Linked DNA regions of Mytilus edulis. The protein of the gene in region 1 purifies or fractionates together with the protein of each later gene. This does not show direct contact. Links are inferred from orthologs where the notes say so. Each region holds a gene or a part of one and is shown on either strand. Other genes may lie near its edges.

The links.
Region 2: the proteins of translation initiation factor eIF2 assembly protein-like (region 1) and eukaryotic translation initiation factor 2 subunit 2-like purify together in Homo sapiens (affinity purification with mass spectrometry; 4 studies listed by BioGRID and IntAct, counting the BioPlex papers as one, with this or other methods). This does not show direct contact. The link is inferred for Mytilus edulis from reciprocal best matches to the Homo sapiens genes CDC123 and EIF2S2.

What each region holds. Positions count from the first base shown.
Region 1 is NC_092344.1:98,224,940-98,236,131, forward strand, and holds the start of translation initiation factor eIF2 assembly protein-like, read left to right. Parts: upstream 1-6,989; 5' UTR 6,990-7,197; coding exon 7,198-7,271; intron 7,272-11,192. UniProt on the Homo sapiens protein: ATP-dependent protein-folding chaperone for the eIF2 complex. Binds to the gamma subunit of the eIF2 complex which allows the subunit to assemble with the alpha and beta subunits.
Region 2 is NC_092348.1:20,410,366-20,421,062, reverse strand, and holds the start of eukaryotic translation initiation factor 2 subunit 2-like, read left to right. Parts: upstream 1-6,126; 5' UTR 6,127-6,274; coding exon 6,275-6,295; intron 6,296-6,835; coding exon 6,836-7,019; intron 7,020-7,802; coding exon 7,803-7,891; intron 7,892-10,697.

The DNA.
Region 1 (11,192 bases):
GGTGACGTTTTCTAATTTCATGTACCTCTGACCAATTATCGACTTAAAATAAGAAAAATACCGAGAAGATCAAATGTTTTTTTGTGGTTAAATCTTCGGAGCACTCAAAACATTATTTTTACGGTGGCTTATTAGTTTTTATTCACTTTTGTCAATAAGCTTTTCAAAAACAAACAAGACAAATCATATGTTTTTGCGTGTAGACGGGTAACATTCTTATATTGTTTTTGAGGGTTCCTCCAAATTTCGGATACCCATAAGTAAATAAAATATAAAAATTGTATACCATTTGGAAGAGGAACGTTATGGCTTTGTGATGTCATATTTGTATGACGTAATCGACACCATTTTCGAATCGAGTAGACCTTGGAAGAATCCATTTCAGCTTGTAGACACTAAAGGAAAAATATAAGCCCTTTGCGGCATAACAGATGAGAATCCATCGATAGCGAGATTGTTTGTCATTAAAGTCTTTATATCAATTATCATTATGTAAAACGAACTTGGAAAATGCTTTAAAAACATTGATTCCCAATTTAAAAGAACGAATTCAATTAGAACTTCGACATCATAATCAAAATCAAAGCCCCGAAAAACACTGTCACAACAACGTTTAAAAAAAACATGCTCTACTTGAAATTATCAATACAGAGTAAAAATATGTAAAGCATGGTATCTAGTCCGAAAATACTATATGTCCGTTAAACTGGAACATCTGAACTGCATCTATTCATATAGCAATCTCTTTTTTTAGCATTACATAAAATCTAATTATGTATATGAGTCCCCACAGGGCTCCCGTCACAAAACTTTTAACTAACGTTTAACGTTAGTAATTTCGATGTTTTTTAAAGAAAACGAAGAAAAAAAAGGGATTGTGCATTTCAGAACGGAGAAATGAAGCCAATATGATAAATTCCTAATAAAAAAGAAACGGTAGCATGCATTCGTTTAAATTTTTGTCAATTTATTTCGATTACTGATGCGTTGAAAGGGTGTCTACCAAAATGTCACAAAAATGGCATCTTCATTTTTTTCTAAAATACAAAAAAACAAGTTGTTACAAATCTTTAGAAATAAGTGAAAACTGTATAATTAATAAGAAAATTTAAGCGATAATCGGAAATTCTCAAACCGAAGGAACATTTCAATATAAATAGGATAAAGATTAAATATGTACAAATTATCAAAATACATTGGTCACATGGTGGTCTACCAAAATGTCACAGCGTCGCTTATTTGACGTTTTTGACGTTCACCGTGTTGTTTTTTTTTGCGTTATGGCGGTTTTTGAAGCGTATTTATTTTGTTATAAAAACATCTAAAACTTAATTCAGAATATACTTTTTCTTTCAAATGTTTTTTCTTTCGTGTCATTTTTTGTGAAGCTAATGAATCAGAAACCCAACAACAACAAAATTCTACATGTATATACAAAATTAATAGCTTCAGTGGAGAACATAATTATCGCCTCAAGTACAACTAGCATATCATACATAATGGATATTCGTATTACTTAAAGTATTGAAATACATATATGTATACGAATACGGACACACTGACACATATCGATATGTAAACAATCAAATACGGAGATATGTTATACGTACAGCTAATTGGATGTTAATATTTCCAAACATAGGTTGAAATTTTTCCGTTTTATGAGTAATATTTTAAAAGTATATATGTATCAAATAAAAATCATCGATACTGTATGTTGCCTTACATAGATATTGATGAAGAAAGTTTTGACATTAAATCAACATGTTGGATATTCAGGTTGGCATGTCAAATATTCAACTCAACATGTCTGATATTTTCAAGTTGACTTGTTAGATAATTATACTGACTTGTCAGATGTTAGGTCGACGTGTTAGATATTGAAGTCGATATAGTAGATAATTGTGTCACCATACCAAACAATGTGACTTAAATACAACAAAAACCGCAACCCAAGCTCTTTAACGCCATATACTTAAGAGTAGAACAAAAACATACTACTAGAAATAATCTGTATATTGTCAAAATATATAAATAAGGAGATGTGGTGTGGTTGCCAATGAGACATTTATCCACTAGTAAGACTTAAGTTCTAATGACGAATACAAATGCAATTATAGGTCATTGCATTTGTACCCAAGTAGAATCTGTAGCCGAATTTTGATATAAACAAATAATTAGGAACTATTTTAAAAGTTGTAATAGAAAGGTCCACAGTATGCCACTGGTGGACTTTTGAAAAATCAAGCAGATATTGCCGTTATACGCGGGCAATTTCGGATACGTCCGGCTGTAGAATTGTTAACGATTAACAACACCACTGTCATATGCGTGCAATCGAAGAATTTTTAAATATGTAGAAGAAATTCCTAGAAATAGAAAATCGTTTAAACCAATAAAGGGGATACGGACCATACATCGAGTAGAAACAAAAAATCTACAAACGGTACTAGTTCGAACCGTGTCATGCTATTGTGGCGGGTGCCTTGAGCATGACCATTGTTTGTTTACTGATCTAGTTGGCATTTCGTTGGAAGTCAAAGTAGAGCGAGAGCTAGGATTCCAATTCAGGGGAGGAGACATTAGAAGATGACAGATATGAGACATTCGTTAATATGATAAATACCGGTCAATTTTTTGCAATTTATGTGATGATGAGGAAAATTGTCTCTTCCTCCTTAAAGCTACATCGGGGAGTCATAATTATGTTAACAGGAGAAGAAACTAATGAGTGGGGGTCGACATTTTCTGATGGAACATCTGTAATTAATGGACATTATTTCATAAAGAAAAACACATCACGTTTTACAGTACAGTCTTTTTTAAAATCAAAAGACAATTGTCTCAAGCGCTTCCGTGTTGTATGTATGTCAAGACAATGTTTTGAAAAGAAATAAGCTCATTTTTGGTTGCACTTTGTAAATATAGCTGTTTCTCAAACCACGCCTCTTTTGGGGAGATCTTGAATATTCATAGAAAATTAATTTTGTTTACATACTGGTTCCCAGTTATGCTCTCTGTGTTCCATCTCACAGAGACATAACTTGGGAATGTTACCAGTAAATATACACATGCATTGATTTTCATTTGAAATTTTTATTGTGTCACGGCTTAATAATGTGTCACGACACAGGATGAGAGCACTATAGAACTTTCTCAATATTGTATCAATATTGTCCGAAGCAATAATATCTATTACATTGAAGAATTTTTTTATTATTTTTTTATTTCTCCAATTGATATTAAAAGAAGTGATTTAGAAATGTATGACGCGTTACTTATCTTTTCTCTCGCGTTTGATAGCTCTTGCATTAAACAATGAGTATTTTGTTTGTGATATTTAGAGAAATGCAAAATTTAAAGAATTACAAATTAAAGAGCAGACAGCAGCCGAAGGCCACCAATTCAGCGAGAATATCCTGCACCCGGAGGCGCGCCTTTTATAACCATCCAATTCCCCAAAAAATCAAACTTGACAATCAAATATTGTTATCGTAGAATTTTGACAGACTTTAAAATCTTACAATCATTGAAAATACGCAAAAGTTAATTTGTTAAAGGTTGATATAAAAAGATTATACTCCCTACAGCCATATTTAAAGTTTAAAACAAAAAGAACAAGTATAAAAAAAATCTAAAAATTGGAAGGGTTTCTCCTCTTCAGTGCGATTTTCATAATAAAAAAAATCTTGTTTTTTCGACCGGTAAATATTATTTTAAAACAAATTGTGCATGAATGCATACGCGTGGACTTGAATGTAGCGTAAATCCCACAATTTCTGTTTTCACAAAACACCATACGTATTCCTTATATATATTTCCATTTGTCTAGAGGTCCCCTGGCATACACCCGTATCTCCTTTTATTAACAGAAAACCAAGCGTTAAACTTGTGGTTAAGTTGTTAAATATAATGGACGTCAATATTACAAAACGTCAATCATATAACATGATTTTGACGTTACGACGTTACCAAAAGTGACACCAACATCGAGCGTAACGTCCATGTATTGCTATACCGTTATTGATACATACTGTCGGTCTTCATATTTTGGCACCACACAAGGTCGTGTTTTCAGACTATTAAGACATCCGAGATTGATTGATTTCATATGTTTAACACTATCTCAGCACTTCTGGCTATATCATGGCGGCCACGTTGTATTGGTGGAAGAAATCGGAGGGAACCACCTGAACTAGCAACCATAGGCAATTGAAAAACATGGAGTCGAGGGCACCCACCATGTGCAGGGTTCGAACTAAATGCAAGAATGATGATTTTTTTTCTCATAAACTAGTACATGGCTAAAGTAAAAAACAATAAAGTACGTAAATTGTGAATTAATTCATTGCTGTTCAGGAAATTTTGACACTAAATCTTTCGGATGTATACTGAATGATATTTTGTTTTTGGTACATGATGGTTTATTAGCTGCTGTTGTGTTTAATCGATGATTAGGTATACAAGATACTTAAAATGCAACATGCTTGTGTACTGTCGGTCATTTGATGCAAAAAAAAAATCAAAATAATAATTCCAAAATTCCATGAACACACACACTCTCACAAAAAAATTTCATTGCATGTGACCCCTCAGGTAATCCGTAGTTCGATTAGGAAATATTTTCATTGATAGCATTTTGTTGTGAAATAATGTTTTGACAAGTTTCATGGAGATTTTTTTGTTTTAAAATATTTCATTGAATGGTGGCTTATTTCATGTTACAGATGTAATTTTTAATTTTTCCAGTCAAATATTGATGGATTTCCAGGAAGAAAAATCTAGAAAATCAGCAGAAATGGCATACAATGTATTTGTTAAATTTATACGCTGGAACTATATATGTCATCAGAGACATTTAATACATTATCATTGCATAATACATGTGAAACGGCATAATGTGTCTTACTCAATGTTCAACAAATGTTATGAAACTTATGTAAAATGCTATTTACCACAAAACATTGTTTTGTGGTAAATAGCATTTTACATAAGTTTCTTACATAGATCAATTTTGAATTTGGAGTGCGTCCCTTTTAGTGTTCCAGAGTTGTGCCCCTTTGCAAATGAAAAAAAAAAAAGCTGAAATTTAAGTTACCGTTCTCTTACCTGATTTATGTTAATGTTATGAAACCTTTAAACCGTTCCTGCTCTTTACCACAAAACTCAGATCAAGTCAAATTTGGGTAGTGTCACTATTACAGTTCTTGAGTTATGTCCCTTTGAAACTGCGTTAATTATATACAAGCAGGGCCCTGGGCATCATCTGTGTCCCATGAACACATTCCCCATCTATTTAAAATGATATTGTATTCACATAGAAGTTATTTCAAAGTTAAGATGTTGAAAGAAAATCGTTTTAATAATGTGACGTTGCATATGCATAAAATGTATTTATAGAATGTTAATATTTTATACACGAAGCACTCATAGTGACGCAACGTCAGATATTGCTACCATTTTTAAATTTTTAAAGTGTAATAGAAAAATAACGTTGATTAGAAACGCGCACTATCAAGTCAGTGGCGGATCCAGAAATTTTCATAAGTTGGGGCCCGCTGACTGACCTAAGAGGGGGCCCGCTCCAGTCACGCTTCAATGATTCACTATATAAGCAATCAATTTGTTTTTCACAAAAAGGGGGGCCGGGCCCTGGCCCCCCCTAAATCCGCCTCTGCAAGTGTTTCCTGCTTTCCTTGTTGGGTAAATGCAAAGTATAGCATACAAGTAGAAATACCGAGATATTCCATTCCAATATTACTTTATAATTTACATAGGATATTACATTGTACTTCTAGTAATAATGTGTTTTTCGGGGAATATCGCTGCATTATATAAACAACCCGAATATGATTTTATTTAAGCAGTGGAACAAGAGACAATTAAATGGCTTATAGTTATGACACTGAAGTTTTTAAAACTTTTTGATCGTCTTATAGATGTGTATTTTTGTAATATGTGCATCATTTCGTTTTGTTGAAAGTAGGACATTTACATTAAGTGGAGGGAGGAACCTGCGAATGCAATACATGCCGTCCCATATTACGCTTGTGGCGACGTCAAATAATGTTAACGGACAACCTTGCAAGATATTTTCATTAATCCTTAATTTTTATAGGTAACCCTGTAATCTTAATACAATTTGGTGTAACAATTTCAACTTTTAAAGTACTTTTTATAGGTATAGTAATCAAAGCCGAAAAATAATCTTCATGAAATAAAATCTCTGTTTTTTTTTTGCAGTAAAAGTTTTCAGAATATTTATGCTAATTCTATATTGAGACGGCCATGTAAACCAGTACTGAAATATATCACGTCATAGAACATTCATGCAAAATTTCAAAGAGTTGCGTGAACATTTCGCGAATTGTTCGAGATTAATGTTTCAAGTTTGTTACATGGGACAACGCCAAGTGAACGTTTTTTTCTGATAATCTGTGTCTTCCGAAGCCTATGAATATTATATTTTTATTCTTTCTCTATCATAATGTGAAAATTTAAGAAGCAATCTTTATTTTCATATATAATTTCAAATATTCATTTCAGCATTTCTAAGAAAATTTTCTTATCAAATATTTACTTAGCGCTATTTTTCGTGGTAGAAGCAATATCTAACGTTGCGTCAGTACATTGGTCAATATATAGATTTGTTACTTGCAATGTCTAGCTAAATAAAATCTATGAACGGTCGGCACTGCCTTAAAGTAGTGTCTCCACCATGACAGTCTTGAACATTAAAAACTCAATATTAAATAATATACTGCTATTTTCAGTGTTTGGTGAAGGTTGGCTGTCACTGTGCAAAACAGTTTAACATACATAGAACCCTATGGGGGAAAACCAGAGAACTCTCTTTTTTGTCAGAAAAAGATCTGTCAAACAGCCGTACATACTATCCACACTAATCTGTATCCACACTTATTTAATGAGCAAAAACTTATTTTCCGGGTTTCCGTGCTTATTCCGTCATTTGACTAAATTTAGAAGCACCACCAATCGGAACACCTCTGTTATTTACATTAGGAACATGATGCAATAACAACAAACTAAAATGTGTTTAAAGAATTCAACTATCTTGCATCATTTTATGGTGTATAAGTTATTTATTTGTTGAGAATTTCTGCAGTACAGAACACTTTATAAATTTCTTTTCTTAATAGTATACTGAAATTATTTTGTATTTAATCCAAAACAGTCATGAAAGTTGATGAAGTTTTACAGTGTAGTTTTCCCTCTTGGTATAATAAATTTAAGGATATAACAATAAAGAGGTAAATATAAATTGTGGGAATATGAACACATGCTTTTGAACACTTAATAAAAGTACAAGATTGATATTTCAAGATACAGATTATGTATTTTAGGTACCCAGATATACATGCACAACTGATCATCTGATCTGATCATCAGTTAGTCCGAGCTTGTCTGGCAGAAAGTCACAGGACATAAAGTCACAAATTTGATAGGACAAAAAGTCACAAATATTTTTTTGACAATTGTTCAAATATATTTTGAAATATTTTCTTTTAATTACATATAATCATTTTTAAATAATAAGAAAATAGCTCATAAACCTTGATAAATGAAAATTTATTAAATTTTAATCATGCAAAGGATATTTTTATTGGCAAAATGAAGCGATTTAGGTACCAAGTCACTTTGACATTTTGTTTTCATAACAATTACTTGATCGTTTTTTATATTTATTGAGAAGATTTTTATTACAAAGTTGCTTGAAACATAAAACTTCAAGAAAAATACAAAAAAAATATTTTCAAAATAAATGTTTTCTTGTTCAAACAAAAATAATCTCAAAACTGAATTGTGACTTTTTGTCCTGTGACTTTTTGATCGTGACTTTTTGTCCTGTGACTTTCTGTCCTACATTCTAGCAAAACAGCCATTGGACGTCAGAGTAATCTTGGACTAATCATCAGTCTGATCTATATTTGGAAATCTGTGCAGGTTGACCTAAGAATCTACATCGGCTGAACTATTTACGTCATACAACAATCACTTTTCAGTTGTGGTGTCAGTTGTTTTCTTTTGTGACAACATAGAATAGAATATTTTTATTTCCCAAATTACAGGGCCAATAAAGGGCATAAAATCAGATACAACTGATTTACATAATTGGTAAAAACAACAATAATAGCGGCATATACATATATATTTAGAGTATAAGCATTGGTCAGAATCAGAGCCAAAAACAACATATATATATTGTGAATAAAAGAATAAAATTACATTACATGCATTTATTTCAAATTATTTACTTGACTAAGTGTCAGTGTTCAGAATCCGGGTCTGTTCGCGCCTAATCACATTCGCTACCATTAACGTTCGCGCCCTTTCACTTTCGCACCCTACACGTTCGCACCCAAACTCCATTCACACCCCACACGTTCGCGCACAATTTTCATTGGTATTATTTATATAATTTGGAATCGAGTTTTGGTAAGTGTATTGCTATATATATATATAAATTTTTTTTTCTCCATTTTCTCTACATATATATACATGTAGTTAGATTCTGACTGTTATATGTCAGTTTGGTATGGTCAAGTCGTTTGGTAAAGTTAACATACTTTTATGAGAGTTATCTCTCCTTAACCAGTCATTGGTGTATTGATATGCGGATTGCATTCCGTATTTGTATTATATGTTAGTTTATCTTGTTCTCTTGATTTATTGTTACCATACCATGTGGATATGTTTTTGAAGAATAGAACATTATTAACTTGAACTTTAGTTTAATTACTTATGCCAGAGTAAAGCATAAAATGACAACGTTTTTTAATGTGTTGAATAAATCTTAATGATGTTTAGGCAAGTGTACTGCTCTATATAAATATATTTTTTTCATTGTTTCTAAATAAAGTGAGATCTTAATCATGTTTAGGCAAGTGTACTGCTCTATATATAAATATATTTTTTTCATAGTTTCTAAATCAAGTGAGATTCTGACGTTTTTTTATGTGTTGATAAAATCTATATCAGGTTTTGGTAAGTGAATTGCTATAAATAATTTTTTACATGAGTTCAAAGCAGCCAAGCTGTTAAAAACAATTATCTTTCAAGTTTTTGATTTAAAATCTTCAAAGTTTTACTCATACCAAGCTAAATACATGCAGTATTTACATCAAAGCAATTTGCAAGTTAAAACAACAATCATGATTTTTAAACACTCAACAATAACACCAAATGTAGCTGTGTATAATTTACCAATTAGCAGTAATCATACATAATTAACATTTAATAATTAATCATCAAATTAATAAACAAAATCTACATTATAATTCCTCAAAACCTGTAGGGAGCGAACAGACTTCAGGGGCGAACATGTGAGGCGCGAAAGTGTAGGGTGCAAAAGTGTATTGGGCGCGAAAGGACCTGATACCAAGTGTTCATACCTGATCTCCTTAATTCAAAACAGTCACAAATATAACAGCCCAGTTTTTCCATAAGAGTTTCATTTTCTTGCTTCAAGAGCCATAAAAATTTAGAAGATTTATTTAAATTTATAAAATTATAACAATTCATTATTGTTAGAAATGCCTTGAAAAAAATCTTCCTTTTGAATATCATAAAGAGGGCATGCTAATAAAAAATGAAGCATATCTTCAACTTTACCAAATGAGCAATTAGACAAAGACGCTCAGTTCTTTTTATTTATTTTTTTAATATCTGTTTATCTCAATTTTTAAAGAGTGAGCGCTTATTCTTAATTTACAAATTGACTGTCTTTTTTTGAAATCCTGTAGTTCACATTTTCAGGGGAACCTTTGTGATGTCCATATAGCGATATGGTGTATTAAACTCACAAATTCAAAAAGAACCTGAGAATTGATAAACATTAGAATTACCTAGGGAATATTGGCCACATGTATTTGGGGAAAAAAAGAAATTGAAAATCTCATAAAATCAATCATATGATGAGTTTAAATGTGCATAGTTCCTTGTGTAACCTCTCTGTACAGTGCTATTGTGATATACTTTTTAGCTCACCTGTCCCGAAGGGACAAGTGAGCTTATGCCATCACTTGGCGTCCGTGGTCGTCCGTCGTCTGTCGTCGTAAACTATTTCAAGAATCTTCTCCTCTCTGAAACTACTGGGCCAAATACTTCCAAACTTTAACTGAATGTTCCTTAGGGTATCTTATTTATAAATTGTATCCGAAGTTTTGATCTATCAACAAACATGGTCGCCATTGCTAAAAATAGAACATAGGGGTCAAATGCAGTTTTTGGCTTATAACTCAAAAACCAAAGCATTTAGAGCAAATCTGACATGGGGTAATATTGTTTATCAGGTCAAGATCTATCTGCCCTGAAATTTTCAGATAATCAGACAACCCGTTGTTGGGTTGCTGCCCCTGAATTGGTAATTTTAAGGAAATTTTGCTGTTTTTGGTTATTATCTTGAATATTATTATAGATAGAGATAAACTGTAAATAGCAATAATGTTCAGCAAAGTAAGATTTACAAATAAGTCAACATGACGGAAATGGTCAGTTGACCCCTTTAGGAGTTATTGCCCTTTATAGTCAATTTTTAACCATTTTTCGTAAATCTTAGTAATCTTTTACAAAAATCTTCACCTCTGAAACTACTGGGCCAAATACTTCCAAACTTTAACTGAATGTTCCTTAGGGTATCTAGTTTGTAAATTGTATCAGAAGTTGTGATCTATCAACAAACATGGTCGCCATTGCTAAAAATAGAACATAGGGGTCAAATGCAGTTTTTGGCTTATAACTCAAAAACCAAAGCATTTAGAGCAAATCTGACATGGATAATATTGTTTATCAGGTCAAGATCTATCTGCCCTGTAATTTTCAGATGAATCAGACAACCCGTTGTTGGGTTACTGCCCCTGAATTGGTAATTTTAAAGAAATTTTGCTGTTTTTGGTTATTATCTTGAATATTATTATAGATAGAGATAAACTGTAAACAGCAATAATGTTCAGCAAAGTAAGATTTACAAATAAGTCAACATGACGAAAATGGTCAGTTGACCCCTTTAGGAGTTATAGCCCTTTATAGTCAATTTTTAACCATTTTTCGTAAATCTTAGTAATCTTTTACAAAAATCTTCTCCTCTGAAACTACTGGGCCAAATACTTCCAAACTTTAACTGAATGTTCCTTAGGGTATCTAGTTTGTAAATTGTATCTGAAGTTATGATC
Region 2 (10,697 bases), on another chromosome or scaffold:
GTAACAAGTGACAACTCTACGACATGACAGATCCATCAAATACAACTATATATTCCACTGAGATAAAATAAAAAACATAAAATTTACAGACACACTACATTAAAATAACATGTAGATATGATCAGATATAGCACTAGACATAAAAAGTTACCGTCGTACTAAAATGATGTACATAATAAAATTGAGAATGGAAATGGGGAATGTGCCAAAGAGACAACAACCCGACCATAGAAAAAAACAACAGCAGAAGGTCACCAACAGGTCTTCAATGTAGCGAGAAATTCCCGCACCCGGAGGCGTCCTTCAACTGGCCCCTAAACAAATATACTAGTTCAGTGATAATGAACGCCATATTAATTTCCAAATTGTACACAAGAAACTAAAATTAAAATAATACAAGACTAACAAAGGCCAGAGGCCGTCCTGACTTGGGACAGGCGCAAAAATGCGGCGGGGTTAAATGTTAACTAAAAATCATAACTTAAAAATAAAATTATTGGAAATTGATATTTATATAATACTTGTACGTGTAGACTAGATTGTAATGTTTCTTATAAACAGGCTCATAAACATGATGTTTATAACCCCGCCGTATTTTTGCGCCTGTCCCAAGTCAGGATACTCTGGTCTTTGCCTTAATTTAGTCTTGTATTATTTTTAACTTTAGTTTCTTGTGTATAATTTGGAGTTTAGTATGGCGTAAAAATTCATTATCACTGAACTAGTATATATATATTTTTTTAGGGTCCAGCTGAAGGACGCCTCCGGGTACGGGAACTCCTCAGTATTGAAGACCTATTGGTGACCTTTTGTTGTTGTGTGTTGTATGGTCGGGTACGTTGTTGTCTCTTTGACACATTCTTCATTTCCATTCTCAATTTTATTATATACTTTATATACTTGAATATATAAATGCACATTTTTACCCATATGGGTCGAAGGTATATTTGAAATATACTGAATCTCACATATGATAATATACCGTTTGAATGGTTTTACACTAGTAATTTTGGGGCCCTTTATAGCTTGTTGTTCGGTGTGAGCCAAGGCTCCGTGTTGAAGGCCGTACTTTAACCTATAATGGTTTACTTTTTAAATTGTTATTTGTATGGAGAGTTGTCTCATTGGCACTCACACCACATCTTCCTATATCTATGAACAGCGATAAACAATTATTTTCCATTGAAATGTTGATGTCTAATAAGAATTGAGTGTGCACTTTATACAAAAGAAAGCTTTCTGTGGTTAATGATAAGCGAAGATATAGACACATTTTTAACAAATTAAATGGACTTCTGATACAATATGGGATCACTACATCTTCACCTATTAAACCCAAATCAAAAACTTTTAACAGAGCAAACAACACAAAGTGCTTACGAATCTTGAATATTAATTTTCAAAGTCTGAGGAAGAAAGGAAAGCTATTAGAGCTTCTCATAATAGATACAGATCCCGATATCATACTGGGAACAGAAACTTGGCTCGACGACACCATATCATCAAGCGAAATACTATCAAATGACCTTGATTATAATATCCAACGCAGAGATAGACCAACTGATCGACATGGGGGTGTTCTCATAGCAGCCAAAAAACATCTACAATTACATAATGTATATAAAAGTAAAAATATTGAAATGATCAGTGGAGTAATAACAACGAACTCAAAGAAAATCACATTGGCATCATACTATAGACCTCCAAATAGAACAGACAACGAGTACCTAGAATATACACAAGATGAATTCAACCGCCTTAAAAATAGCACCAAAAAGAACATCCTTATTATTGGTGGTGACTTTAACATTCCAGACATCAATTGGGAACAGTTAGCCATAAATGGTAAGCAATATCCATCCAAAGTGAACCAAACCTTCTTGGACATAGTAGCAGACATTAATCTTGAACAAATAGTAGACTTCCCTACAAGAAAAGAAAAAACTCTAGATTTAATTTTGACTAGCCATCCAAGTTTTAAGCAGAGATGTAAACCAATTCCAGCTATTGGTAACAGCGACCACGACATTGTCCTTCTTGATACCTCAATTAAAACACAAAAACCTAAACCGGTTAAACGTAAAATACAACTATGGAAAAGAACCAACATAGATGAAATACAAAATGAGGTGAGGTTATTTGCTGAAACCTTTAACCAGACGACCTTCACTAATATTGAAAACATGTGGAAATATTTCAAAGAAAACATCATGAAAATTATTGATCAGAAAGTACCAACAAAGATGACAACTACAAAATTTACCCATCCTTGGATCAATACCACCATCAAGCGCCTAATAAGAAGGAAAAACAAGGCCCACAAGAAATCAAGGAAAACAAAGAAAAGGAGAGACAGAGATAGATATAAATACCTCCAACAACAAACACAAATGGAAATAAGAAAAGCATACAAAGAATATATGAATGACATCATTAGTCTCAGTTACACTGAGAAACCGAAAAGATTTTGGTCATTCTTGAAGAGCAAAGGACAGGACTCGGTTGGAGTTGCACCACTCAAAAACAAGGAAGGATTCCTTAAAAGCGACAGCCAGAGTAAAGCCAATATCTTAAATGAACAGTTTTGCTCGGTTTTCACAAAAGAAGATGGCAGCACTATTCCCGATAAAGGTCCTAGTAACATCAATACAATGAATGACATCACAGTAACTGAAAATGGGGTATTCAAACTGTTAAAAAACCTTAACACCAACAAAGCAGCAGGACCAGATGAAATACCAACCAAAATACTGCAAATAACTGCTGCAGAATTATCACCAATTCTGACAAGAATCTTTCAGTTTTCACTTGATACAGGAGAAGTTCCACAAGATTGGAGAGATGCCAACATAGTGCCACTATACAAGAAAGGGGATACTCACCTAGCGGCCAACTATCGTCCAGTCTCCCTTACCTCCATCACTTGTAAGCTGTTAGAGCATATAGTTCACAGCAGCATAATGAAACATTTTGATCAACAAAATATACTCTGTGACAACCAACATGGTTTCAGGAAACGCAGATCATGTGAAAGTCAGCTCATCATCACCATCGATCGTATAGCCAAATACCTTTCAAATGGAACCCAGATTGACATCATACTCCTGGATTTTGAAAAGGCATTTGACAAGGTTCCTCATTCAAGACTGCTGTACAAACTCCAATTTTATGGAGTAAGGGGCCGGACAAACTCCTGGATCAGTTCATTCCTATCAAACAGGAAACAACAGGTAGTATTGGAAGGTGCTAGATCTCAACAAGACGATGTTCTGTCAGGTGTGCCACAAGGCACAGTACTAGGTCCTTTATTGTTCCTAACATACATCAATGACATGCCCGGATATACTCAATCAGATGTCCGCCTCTTTGCTGATGACAGTCTACTATACAGGGAAATTAGTAACACCAAAGATACAGAACAACTTCAGAAAGACCTTGAAGCATTAGAAAATTGGGAAAAAACATGGATGATGAGATTCAATCCAACAAAATGCAATATTATCCGCATACCACCAAAGAACAAAGAACCTATACAATACCCATACACTCTACATGGACACATACTCGAACCAGTAGATAGTGCCAAGTACTTGGGAGTTTCAATATCAAACAACCTCTCATGGAACAAACATATCCAGAGTGTTACAGCAAAGGGTAACCGAACACTTGGGTTTGTCAAACGAAACCTTAAAGAATGTACCAGGAAAGTAAAGGCTGCTGGCTATACAACACTCGTGCGACCTGTCATAGAGTATGCTTCTACTATATGGGACCCAACCAACCAAGCAAGCATCAACACACTAGAACTTATACAGAGGAGAGCTGCTAGATTTGTCTATAATGACTACACATCACGCACACCAGGGTGCGTCACTACAATGTTAGAAGATCTTAAATGGGACACATTACAGACAAGACGCCGTGACAACAGGCTATGCATGCTCTATCGTATCCAGAATGAGCTGATAGACATCAACAAGAGTACTTACCTCAAAGGTGGCGACAGTAGAACTCGTGGAGGACACAAGTTTTACCAACAGAGGGTCACCAGTGATGTCTACAGGAACTCCTTCTTTCCAAGAACAATCATGGAATGGAATACATTACCTGCCAGGGTTGCTGAAGCGGGATCAGTTGAAGATTTTCGCTCAGGGCTACAGACAACACATTAATACCAGACTGGACGATTGTACTGACATAATTTTAACCGTAACAACCTGATTTTATTGTAAATACTGTATATAGCCTTAGGGGACTAGATATGTGATGTCACCATGCGTAGTCCCGCAGAGTTTAAACGTTTCATTAAAGGAACCCAACTCTTATATGGAAGAAGAAGAAGAAGAATATATTGTATATTTTTGTCTGTTATTTGATGGTCTTTGATATTTATTCTGTCATTTAATGGATTTTTTTTTTATTATAATCTTTATGACCTTCGGGACCCAAAATTTGTTAATAAAATTGATCTTATCTTAACAAAAAGGTGACATTGATTTATGATCATTACCCGGGGATCATTTTTGATACCGACAAAGCACTTGTTACGACACTGGGCCTCTTGGTTTTTTTTCTGGATTATCTCCCTTACGAAGTTTTCAGTGTCCTTGACCTCTAGTATTATCAGACTGATGCAATAATTTGAACGATGAAAAACTGAAAAATCAAGGAAACTCGAGCTGCTATTTCATTTATCTGTGATAAAATCATCAACTTTATTGTTGATCTTTAATTTCAAGAATGGAGGACGACGAGCTGGTAAGAGGATTGAAAAATAAATGATAAAATGACTTTTTTTGAGCCGGGAATATGAGAAAAATATGGCGACTTCCATCCTCGATCACACGTGTAGTAAATTATTCGAAATCAGCATATTAGTTATGATAAAGTCACACGTTTGCATATATTTTTTTCTTCAATTCATGGTTGTTAATGCAAATCATTAAATATTGCTGAAGATTGGCTAGCATAAAAACAGAATCTCACGAAATTATCTCGTATCTGGGTTGGTTCGGTGCTGTTGACGTATCGTGTTCTCACCTGAACCACAATCACCTTTATTGTTATTATGTTTTACCATGGTGATGTTTCCAATGAACCCAATACTGTCCACAGTTCTCCTTTTGACATAATTTAATTCAGTTATGGTTAAGACAGTAGTGTCTTCTAGACAAAAATTTGTATCACTCAATATTGTTACCATTCAAACAAAGAGACTACCTACAGGCTACAGCACTTTCAGTTTCATACATATATCTAAACTTAGTATAAAGTTGGCACAGACTTGTATTTGTATTTCCCACTGCTGTTAACATGGTAAATAGCATGTCACAGAATAGATGGGTATGACCATATGTCGCAGATTCCTTTCGGCTATTGTGTGATAGTTGCGCTTGCTGGGGAATTCTGATTTAAGCTTCAAGTTGTAGTGACACACACTACCATGTCTTCCAGATGGTTCCAATCAATAGCGACTGTGCACAAAAATAGTTTTTGAACATGTCCGATTTACTATTTTGAACTACAAAAATGTATGACCATTCGTTTGTTGTTACAGACTTGTTGGTCTACAATGTACTTAGTGATAAAGTTATTCAAAGGTTGTTGCTCTGATTTGTCGTTTTGGTCTGTGGAATTTAATAAGGTTGTGCGGAGGGAGCACTTGTATCTTCCATTAAACCACTTCGAAAAACAAAATCAATTGTTTTATATAAACTCTTCATAACTACTTTAACATGGTGAATGTACAAAATGCAAATTAAATAAGCAAGAAGAACTCATCAATGCCTGATAGAATGGAAATATACAGTCTGTTGATAACATCAATGTTAGTGCTGTGATGTCAAGATTGGGTTTAGTTAAGTGACTAGTGACATTGGTCTAGATCATAAGATTTTTATTTTTAGTGAGGTACTTTGTATTTTAACCCTTCTTGAATCATCTTATAAAAGTATATATATTCATAAAACTTTTTGTAATAAACAACCTACCTAATTAGTATTACTTTTCAGAAAAAAATAATGAGATAATATTCCCTGTATTATTATCTGCTAGGCTATAAATATACATTATACAAATCGATATTGCATCAGACGTGTTTTAGTATAAAATAAAGACTGCAATATAAATTGAAACATTTATCTTTAAAATAGCAAAGGAAAAATATAATACATATAGCTCTAAGCCTCTTCTATACAGGAATATTTTGATGCAATTGGATCAGTAAAAAAGGATAAAAAAATCATTATTATTCTAGATGTTCAGAAATTAAATTATGGTTTATGAAAGAGAAAAGGTAAGTTCCTAAAATGTGTTAATTTTGAAAAAAAATCAGTTTATCAAAGTGTCAATACAAATTTTGTAAAGGCAAAATATGGCATCAAAACTAAAAAATATATACAAATGTATGGGAAAATCCTCAACATAGGTTTTGATTTCTTTATAGTTTCGAAATAAGGTTATTTAATGGTATTTTTGTGATGAAATACCATACTTTATAAAATGAGACAGGAATTAGATGATGCAACATCTGATCAATAACTTTTTCATGTAAACTAAGTTTACATTCCTGTTCTGTTTGATTCATTGATAACTTAAAAAAAATTTGTGGAAGATTTTTAAATTTCAAGTCATTTGAATATTTTAGGTAAATGAGTAGGATTTGGTCTAATCTGAAGGAAAAAAATGTTCATTATTTAAACAAATAGGTTGACATGTCTACATGTATGTATCTGGATTGTCAGCCAATATTGTCATACATTTGTACATTTCTTTCGTACATATGAGTGTAATAATTGTCTTTGTTTATATAAATTAATATAATTTACCTTTACAGACCCCCTTTGATCCTAATATGATGAAAAAGAAAAAGAAGAAGAAGAAGGTACCATTTGATTTAGATGCAGCTATGGGTGATCCAGAAGGAGCAACAGATGGGGCACCAACCCCAGAAACAACTGAAATCCAAGAGGAACCAAAGGAAAACAAATCTGAAAATCAAAGGGAGAAAGTAGACGATGGTAATACATAATGGGAAATAATTTGGAAATACATGTATATGTGAAGTGTACATGGTGTACAATGTATGTGAATAGAAACGATGAGTTCATAACTTGACTACATGGGTGATCTGAGGTGCTCAAGAAGGGTATGAAGATCCTGCATGAGCCAATAAATATCATTGATATTCGACATGCTTATATGATCAGATGAATAAAACAGGACATATAAGTGAAGACTTACAGATGAACACTCAAAGCTACATTGATATTGATATTTTATCTGAACAATAATTAGGTTTTTCACTACTCTGCAGAAATTAAATCCTAGAGTATGACTTCTTTCTCAAAAACTATGAGTCTTAGGACATCTTTCGCAGAGAATCGTGAGGAGTGAAAGTTTAATGAGATGACTCATGATCATTGTATTCATTTGCACAAGGACAATTTCTATCCAAAACAGCTCATTTGTTAATCTATAATTTGACTTTCCAATAATGAATTCAAATTTTTCAACTTAGTTATAATAGCCACACTATAAACAAATAAGCACAATGTTGCCTGTGTATGTCCCTGGTACACAATGACATCACCTTGTACATGTATGTATATGAATTCTCTAAAATGCTTCACGCTGGCACATTTGTAACTTTTTTTTTAATACATTGAAAAGAAAGTGTTTATTTGACAGATTATATTATGGTTTCACACAGATTATATTATGGTTTCACACAGATTATATTATGGTTTCACACAGATTCAGCAATTTGATGTAGAAGAATGAATTTGTTTGAATATTTTCAGATATGTCATTAGAATTTAGCCTTGGGATGAAAAAGAAGAAAAAGAAAAAGAAAGCATTTGAACTGGATGACATTGGAGATGCTCTGCCTGTAAGTAAAAGTATAAAGTTTAGATCTGGTTTCCATGTTAAATTAGGGGCCTCAGCGGCCAAGTGGTCTAAGTAGTTCTTACTACTGTAATCACTAGCCAGTCAACACTGAGGTTGTAAATTCATACCCTGCTCCTGGGGGTGCACACAACTTCAATCTTAATTGACTAGTATTGTCAGTTTTTCTATTTAAAGTCTGAGGTTTTCTCTAGGCACTCTGTTGTATGAACTAGAACACGTGTGCGCATGTGTACAGGTGGGAAATTTAATTATGCATCCTACATTTCTACAAAAATGCTTCAATAATCATTGATATCTGTATCTAACGTTCATTTCAAGTATTTTGTTGAAGAAATGATGCGGAAAGAGCTTCTTCACTCAGTCGTGCTTTGTAAACGTACACAGATTTTACGTATCTGTTTCTAGTCCATGTTTTACCAGTCAGGTCAACATCCGGTATAAGGAAAATGTGATTTTTAAAACTAAAGTAAAATGTTTTGACAAATAAAGAGTATGGATATCTATAAAAAGGTTTAATACCACTACAGGAAAGTTGGGATTGATTTTGGGGGTTATGGTCCCAATAGTTAAGGAAGAAGGGGCCAAAAAGGGGGCCCAAAATAAGCATTTTTGTAGTTTTAAAACAATAACTTGTGTTTAAGTGTATGAATCTCTCTGAAATAATTCCACAGGTTTCCATACCATGAAAGGATGGTAATTAATGACTTTGGGGGCTTATGACTCTAAATGTTTTGGAATTAGGGGCTAAAAAAGGCGAAATTAGGGGCCCAAAAAATGGGATAAACTAGATTTTCCAGACCAACTTTAGATTTACTGAATGGATCTCTATTAATTTCTACCAGAAGGTTCAATACCACTAATTAAAGGAAGGTTTGGATTGATTTTGGGGGTTATGGTCCTTATTGTTTAGGATTTAGGGGCCAAAAAGGGGGTCCAAAATAAGCATTTTTGTAGTTTTCAAACAATAACTTGTGTTTAAGTGGATGAATCTCTCTGAAATTTTACCACAAGTTTCCATACAATTGATGGTTAGTAATGACTTTGGGGGGTTCTTAAAATGTTTTGGAATTGGGGGCCAAAAAAGGGGGAAACTAGGTTTTTCTGGTCAATGAACAATTAAGACAATTCAAAAGCAGTGTAATGGAGGTAAATCATAAACAGATAACATACAATTTTTGGTTTGTGCAGATTTACCTCCCTTACACTACTTGTAAACAATGTATAAAGAAATGTCAGGTTTTGGACCTATTTAAAAAAAAAGGGGATGGTAGTAGTTTTCAATTTTTTTTCTCAAATTCCAAATTTTTTATACGACCGCAAATTTTGAAAAAATTTTCGTCGTATATTGCTAATACGTTGGCGTCGTCGTCGTCGTCCGGCGTCCGAATACTTTTAGTTTTCGCACTCTAACTTTAGTAAAAGTGAATGGAAATCTATGAAATTTTAACACAAGGTTTATGACCACAAAAGGAAGGTTGGTATTGATTTTGGGAGTTTTGGTCCCAACATTTTAGGAATTAGGGGCCAAAAAGGGCCCAAATAAGCATTTTCTTGGTTTTCGCACTATAACTTTAGTTTAAGTTAATAGAAATCTATGAAATTTTGACACAAGGTTTATGACCACAAAAGGAAGGTTGGTATTGATTTTGGGAGTTTTGGTCTCAACAGTTTAGGAATTAGGGGCCAAAAAAGGGCCCAAATAAGCATTATTCTTGGTTTTCGCACAATAACATTAGTTTAAGTAAATAGAAATCAATGAAATTTAAACACAATGTTAATGACTACAAAAGGAAGGTTGGTATTGATTTTGGGAGTTTAGGTCCCAACAGTTTAGGAATTAGGGGCCAAAAAGGGACCCAAATAAGCATTTTTCTTGGTTTTCGCACCATAACGTTAGTATAAGTAAATAGAAATCTATGAAATTTAAACACAAGATTTATGACCATAAAAGAAAGGTTGGGTTTGATTTTGGGAGTTTTGGTCCCAACATAATAAGGGGCCCAAAGGGTCCAAAATTAAACTTTTGTTTGATTTCATCAAAATTGAATAATTGGGGTTCTTTGATATGCTGAATCTAACTGTCATGACTGTGTATGTAGATTCATAACTTTTGGTCCCGTTTTCAAATTGGTCTACATTAAGGTCCAAAGGGTCCAAAATTAAACTTAGTTTGATTTTGACAAAAAATGAATCAGTTAGGTTCTTTGATATGCTGAATCTAAAAATGTACTTAGATTCTTGATTATTGGCCCAGTTTTCAAGTTGGTCCAAATCGGGGTCCAAAATTAAACTTTGTTTGATTTCATCAAAAATTGAATAAATGGGGTTCTTTGATATACCAAATCTAACTGTGTATGTAGATTCTTCATTTTTGGTCCTGTTTTCAAATTGGTCTACACTAAAGTCCAAAGGGTTCAAAATTAAACTTTGTCTGATTTTAACAAAAATTGAAATCTTGAAGTTCTTTGATATGCTGAATTCAAAAATGTACTTAGATTTTTTATTATGGGCCCAGTTTTCAAGTTGGTCCAAATCAGGATCTAAAATTATTATATTAAGTATTGTGCAATAGCAAGTCTTTTCAATTGCACAGTATTGCGCAATGGCAAGAAATATCTAATTGCACAATATTGTGAAATATCAAAAAAAAAATTAATTAGAGTTATCTTTCTTTGTCCAGAATAGTAAGCAAGAAATATCTAATTGCAAAATATTGTGCAATAGCAAGATTTATTTTTAATTGGAGTTATCTTTCTTTGTCCAGAATCAACTTAAATCTTTGTTAT